Pelodiscus sinensis: one gene and its partner. The protein of the gene in region 1 purifies or fractionates together with the protein of each later gene. This does not show direct contact. Links are inferred from orthologs where the notes say so. Each region holds a gene or a part of one and is shown on either strand. Other genes may lie near its edges.

Region 1 (3,746 bases):
CCTCTCAGTGAAGTTATATAATACTGTGCAACTATTAAATAGACCAGTTAATGAAAACTGATTGTAATACAGAAAAGTTATTAAAATCCATCTGCTCCATCAGTATCAGCCATCAAGCTATATACATGACCTAATTCTTAAACAAGTTCAATTTGATACAGTATAACTGACAGTTAAAATAAATATCAAAAGAAAGTTTGAGGCTCTCTTCCCCAAACATAACTCAGTCTTTAAAGAGATCAAAGGTGGGCTTAATTTTTCTGAGGTAACATCAATCCTTTATCTGTTTCAAGGACGTGAATATCCCACAGAGGAAAAAAAAGGCTGCTCTATGCTAGAAAGTCAGGTCAGCTTAACTAAACTCAGGGCTGTGAAAAATACCATGCCCTATGAGAGGTAATTAAGTTGCCTTAAACTCCAGCATTAGTAGACACTGCGTGGTTGACAGAAGAATTCTTACATCAGCCTAGCTACCACCTCCCTCTCAAAGAGGTGGATGAACTCCTCCTGTCCCAGCAGCAAATGTCTAAGCTACATCTCTGCTGCTGTAGCATTTCTAGCTTAGATATGAAATAAACATGCAAGTAAAGTTCAGGAACTTGCACACATCATAAATAGAGTTTCAGTGCAAGTACAGCAGAAAATTGGGGTTTGACAAGGCTTAGTGTGCAAAAGGCCTTTTAATAAGTTAATAAAGCTTCAATATGTAATCCTAGCAACTTGTATCTCATGCTTCCCTAGATAAATCACAGAACCCAATGGTGGGGATAGAGAAGTCCATAAATCAGCTAGTCTAGAACTCCAGAAGCCAATTAAGGAAAAAATGGGTACTCTACAGTGTTCCCTGTAAGCTGAGTGCTTGGGCAGCAGCCCAGGAGAGATTCAGGTGCCACCCAGATGATTGGCAGAGCACCCACTGCTGACCACAGCATGATTCTACTAGTGGTGCACATCACAAAGTTTATTCTGAACATGGAAGGAAAAACTTAGAGGAAACATTGGTACTCTCAACATTTTATGTTCCAGCTCTTCAATAAAATAACATTTCAAAATGACACGCTACCCTCAATCAATACACTTGTGTTACAGAACAGTGATTACCCTTAACTCCAGATTTAGGCTTTCCTAATTTGCAAAACTAAGGTCTTGTCTACACTACAGACCTGTATCAGAATAAAAGGAAAAAAATCAAGCCCCTGAATGACATAGCAACACCAATCTAATCCCCTGTGTAGACAGCACTCTCAGCAGGAGCGCATCTCCCACCAACATACTATTAACTATGCCAACAGGCGAGCTCTCTCCTGGCAGCTTAAGAGAACCTTAATGAAAGTATTGCAGATGCACCGATGCAGCATTTTAAGTGCAGATTTGTACCAAGATTAGGTTTCCACTGTAGCGTAAGACAGGTTCGGATTTGCGTCCAAAGACTTTGGCATTGCTTTCTTATTTATGTGCAGGCCCTCTAATAAGGAACAGATGCCAAAAAGAATGAGCAGCCAGGGGATTAAAAACAGTGGGAAGTAGCAATGGTGCCACACCAGACCCCATCAAATACCACTTCTTAGTCCAAATGAATATGAGAGGGGACATATGCTTCCAGTTCTCAGCTGTCTAAAAAATTCCTAAGTTTTAAGAATTTATGATCACCAAATACAACCTCCTGCATCACAATTAGCTCTGGGGCTCCAAACGCAACTAAAGCAGAATTCCCCCAGGATTAAGAGATGGAGAAAAGAGGTGGTGTAAATCTTCCAGCTAGCCCACAGCTCGTGGTTTAACAAGGTAACAAGAGTGCAGTGGTGCCTGACGAATTTCTATTATGGAGTGAAACAAAATACAGGACTATGTAGCACTTTATATATGGCTGTGACTATTTTCTTCCACAATTTGATCTGAGGAAGTGGGTCTGGCCCACGAAAGCTCATCACCTAATAAACCATCTTGTTAGTCTTTCAAGTGCTGCATCGTCCTGTCTCTAGTTTCAGCAAGACCAGACTCACACGGCTGCATCTCTATCACTATTCTGGGGTGCTGAGAGTCACGGAGCCAAACTGCAAGCGCTCCATACAACGGAGATCACGCCTAGGCAGGAGGTGCAGCAGCACCCCCGCACGCCCGTCCCAGCCCCGGGGCAGCGGTGCATCTTTCGGAGACTGCCCCTCACGAGTGGAAGGGAGGGAGAGAGGCGGGCGGGCGCCTCCTGCGGATGTCAGCACCGCTGCCCTGGTGAGGCCTGAGCAGAGCAGGCGGCGGCTGCAGCCCCGGGCTGTCGGGAGAGCGCGGGACACGCCACGGCCGGGGCAGGGCGGCCCCCGCTGGCGGGGCCAAGCGACAGACCCGGGGGGGGGATCCCCCAGGCCCGCCCGATCTTGTCACACGCACCCGCCGAGGGTGACCTGCGCCCCCGGGGCGGGGCCACGAGGCGCCGCCCGCAGCCCCGCGCGCCCCAGCCCGGCCTTTCGCTGCCCCCCTCCCGCGTGAGCAGCGCCCCGCCCCGCCCCGCCCCGGTCACCTTGGGCTGAGAGCTGCCGGACGCTGTTGACGAACTGCTCCAGGGCGGACGCCATCTTGGCGGCTCTCGGCGCGGCCGCGTCTCTCCGGGGCGGGCAGGCGGCCCGGGCCGAGAGCGGCGGGGGGGGAAGCGGGAAGGAGGCTCCGCAGCGACGCCGCCAGAATCCAGCCAATCAGCGGTCGCTTCGGGAACCGCGAGACCCAGCGGCTAACGTCACTTCCTCCATGTCACATCGCGAGAGCAACGTCCCGCGGAACAAACGCCCCCTGAGGGTTACCATGGGAACGGCCTGCTCCCGCCCGGCGTCACGGCCTGTAGTAAAGGGCCATTTTACAGCCGAATCCGTGACTCAGCAACAGCCAGGGGGCGCGGCCAGTGACGCGATCGCGCCTCGCCATCGCCTTCCATAGAGCGCCGCGTGACCTCACAGCGGCCCGGTCAGCCTCGAGCCTGCAGCGCCTGGCACCGGCCCCGCCCTCACCTCAGCCCCCCCCCCCCCGCAGTCACGTCACCCCCCAGCACTGATACCCCCCTACACTGATACCCCCCCACAGCCACGTCACCCCCAACACTGATACCCCCCTACACTGATACCCCCCGTAGCCACGTCACCCCCAACACTGATACCCCCCAACACTGATACCCCCCCACAGCCACGTCACCCCCAACACTGATACCCCCCTACACTGATACCCCCCCACAGCCACGTCACCCCCAACACTGATACCCCCCAACACTGATACCCCCGCAGCCACGTCACCCCCCAACACTGATACCCCCCTACACTGATACCCCCCGTAGCCACGTCACCCCCCAACACTGATACCCCCCAACACTGATACCCCCCCGTAGCCACGTCACCCCCAACACTGATACCCCCCAACACTGATACCCCCACCATCTCCCCCCACAGCCACGTCACCCCCAACACTGATACCCCCCTACACTGATAGCCCCCGTAGCCACGTCACCCCCCAACACTGATACCCCCAACACTGATACCCCCCCGTAGCCACGTCACCCCCAACACTGATACCCCCCAACACTGATACCCCCCCGTAGCCACGTCACCCCCAACACTGATACCCCCCTACACTGATACCCCCCCACAGCCACGTCACCCCCAACACTGATACCCCCCAACACTGATACCCCCCCGTAGCCACGTCACCCCAACACTGATACCCCCCAACACTGATACCCCCCCGTAGCCACGTCACCCCCAACACTG
Region 2 (3,746 bases), on another chromosome or scaffold:
CCCACCCTCCTCATGCCCTGCACCCCCACATACCCCACCCTCCTCATGCCCTGCACCCCCACGCACCCCACCCTCCATCTCCCACCCTCCTCATGCCCTGCACCCCCACGCACCCCACCCTCCATCTCCCCACCCTCCTCATGCCCTGCACCCCCACGCACCCCACCCTCCTCATGCCCTGCACCCCCACGCACCCCACCCTCCATCTCCCACCCTCCTCATGCCCTGCACCCCCACGCACCCCACCCTCCATCTCCCCACCCTCTTCATGCCCTGCACCCCCACGCACCCCACCCTCCATCTCCCCACCCTCCTCATGCCCTGCACCCCCACATACCCCACCCTCCTCATGCCCTGCACCCCCACGCACCCCACCCTCCATCTCCCACCCTCCTCATGCCCTGCACCCCCACGCACCCCACCCTCCATCTCCCCACCCTCTTCATGCCCTGCACCCCCACGCACCCCACCCTCCATCTCCCACCCTCCTCATGCCCTGCACCCCCACATACCCCACCCTCCTCATGCCCTGCACCCCCACGCACCCCACCCTCCTCATGCCCTGCACCCCCACACACCCCACCCTCCATCTCCCACCCTCCTCATGCCCTGCACCCCCCACGCACCCCACCCTCCATCTCCCACCCTCCTCATGCCCTGCACCCCCACGCACCCCACCCTCCATCTCCCACCCTCCTCATGTCCTGCACCCCCACGCACCCCACCCTCCATCTCCCACCCTCCTCATGCCCTTCACCCCCACGCACCCCACCCTCCATCTCCCACCCTCCTCATGTCCTGCACCCCCCACGCACCCCACCCTCCATCTCCCACCCTCCTCATGCCCTTCACCCCCACGCACCCCACCCTCCATCTCCCACCCTCCTCATGTCCTGCACCCCCACGCACCCCACCCTCCATCTCCCACCCTCCTCATGCCCTTCACCCCCACGCACCCCACCCTCCATCTCCCACCCTCCTCATGGCCACCACTGCCCCCCCGGCCTCATCCCTGCCATACCCCCCCACCCCTACCTGCCCCCCAACGCCCCCACGCCCCGCCCCCTGCGCGCGCCGCCGCGCCCGAGCCCCATGCGCCGCTGCTGCCCGGCCTTGTGCCTCAGCCGCCGCAGCGCCCCCGCCCCGCGCCCGCCGCCGCGCCGCCCTGCCCCGCCCGCGCCTCCTGCGCACAAGATGGCGGCCGGCGGGAGCGGCGGGGGCCCCGGGGGCCTCTCCTCCTCCGGCCCGCAGCCGCCGCCCCCCCCGGGCAACGGCGCCGCCTGCGCCGCCCCCGCGCCCGCCCCCGCCCCCGCCGCGCCGCCGGGCCTCACCTACAACCAGTGCGGGGCCGGCAACCCCGCGGCGGCGGCCGGGGCGGCGGGGCCCGGGGGCGGGGCGCTGCCGCGCGAGCCCGTGTACAACTGGCAGGCCACCAAGCCCACGGTGCAGGAGCGATTCGCCTTCCTCTTCAACAACGAGGTGCTCAGCGACGTGCACTTCCTGGTGGGCAAGGGCCGCGGCTCGCAGCGCATCCCGGCCCACAGGTGGGCGAGGGCCGGGGGGGCGGGGAGCATCCCCCTCAGGGGCGCGGGGGGGGACCATCCCCCTCAGGGGCGCGGGGGGGGCATCCCCCTCAGGGGGGCGAGGGCCGGGGGGGCGGGGAGCATCCCCCTCGGGGGGGCGCGGGGGGGGACCATCCCCCTCAGGGGCGCGGGGGGGCATCCCCCTCGGGGGGCGGGGGGGCATCCCCCTCGGGGGGGCGGGGGCCGGGGGGGCGGGGAGCATCCCCCTCAGGGGCGCGGGGGGGCATCCCCCTCGGGGGGGCGGGGGCCGGGGGGGCGGGGAGCATCCCCCTCAGGGGCGCGGGGGAGGCATCCCCCTCAGGTGGGTGAGGGCCGGGGGGGCAGTCCCCTCAGGGGGCCGGGGACGCGGGGGGGCATCCCCCTCAGGAGCGTGGGGGGGCAGCATCCCCCTCAGGTGGGCGAGGGCCGGGGGGGCATCCTCCTCAGGGGCGGGGGGGAGTATCCCCCTCAGGTGGGCGGGGGGCGGGGAGGGAAGCATCCCCCCTCAGGTGGGCAAGGGCCGGCAGGGCGGGGAGGGAAGCATCCCCCCTCAGGTGAGCAACGGGGGGGTGTAGGGACTAGGGGGGCGTGGGGCCCCAGGGGGAGAGGGGAGCATCCCCCCTCATGTGAGCAATGGGGGGGTAGCGACTAGGGGGGTGCCAGGGTGTGGGCTCTTGGGCTGCCTGGGGGAGCGGATGTAGGGCCCAGGGAATGCAGTGGAGCGAACAAGGAGGGGTTTAGGGCCCGGGAGGGGGGCTATCAGGAGGCCCACGGGAGGGGGGGTAGGGGAGCATCCCAGCCCTCAGGTGAGCAGTGGGACTGGGGTGTGTGTGTGTATGTGGGAGGGGACCAAGGGACGGTGCCAAGGAGGGGGTGTAGGGGAGCATCCCAGCCCACTTGTGGGTAGCCTGAGAGGAAGGAGGCAAAAAGCATACAAGGGGGGGTTGCAGTGGGCCACCCCAGTGTACAAGTAGGGACCACTGAGGTGGGGTGGAGCAGGCATCCCATGCTGGCCCCCACATGGGGCTTGCTGCTCCTCTCGCTGTCCGGGACACCGGTTGAGGTGAGCCATAGGCTGAGCCTCAACCTCCGCCCCTCCGTGGGCTCTGCATAGCAGGGGGCTGCGCTGGTGCTCCCTGCAGCTAGATACCTGGCCCCAGCCTGGACGCAGGTATGGTGAGGCAGGAGAGGGCCGCCCTTCCTTCTGCCATGCCTCTGGGCGGTGTGGTCACCTGCCTGCCCCCCTAGGTCTTCCACACGCCAGGCCTCACCAACACATCCCAGGGTTTGGGCCTCCTGCCTTGAGAGGGCCCAGAGCTGCTTTCCAGGCCTGTGATGGCTGGAGTGGAGGGAGCAGGATGCACTAAGGTGTCAGATCAGCCTGGGAATGCAGGCCCCCAAGTTGTCTCTGTGTGGGGTCTGTGTGGCATGGTGTTAGTGGGGCTCTGCCCTTTAAAGGGGTGCTTGGAATGGCTGCAAAGCAGTTGTGGGTTGGAGAAGCCATAGCCCACTGAGCACACAATCTTGTGTCTCCCTATTGGCACTTCAGGAGCAGAAAGCTGAGTGTAGTGACTCAGGCTTTAGCTGAGGAATCAAGATCTGTAGCTGGGGCTGTTACCCTTTGTTGACTGGGCATTGAACAGGAGTCTGTTCAGTGAGTTACAGACTCATGATGGAACAGCGGTGACAGAAAAGGTAACAAAATGTTTTTAAGTACATCAGAAGCAGGAAGCCTGCTAAACAACCAGTGGGGCTCCTGGACGATCGAGATACAAAAGGAGCACTTAAAGATGTCCTTGAGGAGAAACTAAATGAATTCTTTGCTTCAGTCTTCACTGGTGAGGATGTTAGGGAGATTCCCAAACCTGACCTGTCGGTGACAAGGACTTGTCACAGATTGAAGTGTCTTAGAGGAGATTTTGGAATTAACTGATAAACTTAATAGTAACAAGTCACCAGGACCAGATGGCATTCACCCAGGAGTTCTGAAAGAACTCACCTGTGAAATTGTGGAACTATTAACTATGGCTTGTAACCTATCCTTTAAATCATCGTCCGTACCCAATGACTGGAAGATAGCCAATGTAATGCTAATATTTAAAAAGGGCTCTAGAGGCGATCCCGGCAATTACAGACCGGTAAGTGTAACATCAGTACCGGGCAAATTAGTTGAAACAATAATAA

Evidence for each region.
Region 2: the proteins of COPS3 (region 1) and BTBD2 purify together in Homo sapiens (affinity purification with mass spectrometry; 3 studies listed by BioGRID and IntAct, counting the BioPlex papers as one, with this or other methods). This does not show direct contact. The link is inferred for Pelodiscus sinensis from reciprocal best matches to the Homo sapiens genes COPS3 and BTBD2.

Annotation. Positions count from the first base shown.
Region 1 is NC_134726.1:33,863,300-33,867,045, reverse strand, and holds the start of COPS3 (COP9 signalosome complex subunit 3), read right to left. Parts: upstream 2,828-3,746; 5' UTR 2,571-2,827; coding exon 2,516-2,570; intron 1-2,515. UniProt on the Homo sapiens protein: Component of the COP9 signalosome complex (CSN), a complex involved in various cellular and developmental processes.
Region 2 is NC_134729.1:27,667,784-27,671,529, forward strand, and holds the start of BTBD2 (BTB/POZ domain-containing protein 2), read left to right. Parts: upstream 1-1,194; coding exon 1,195-1,544; intron 1,545-3,746.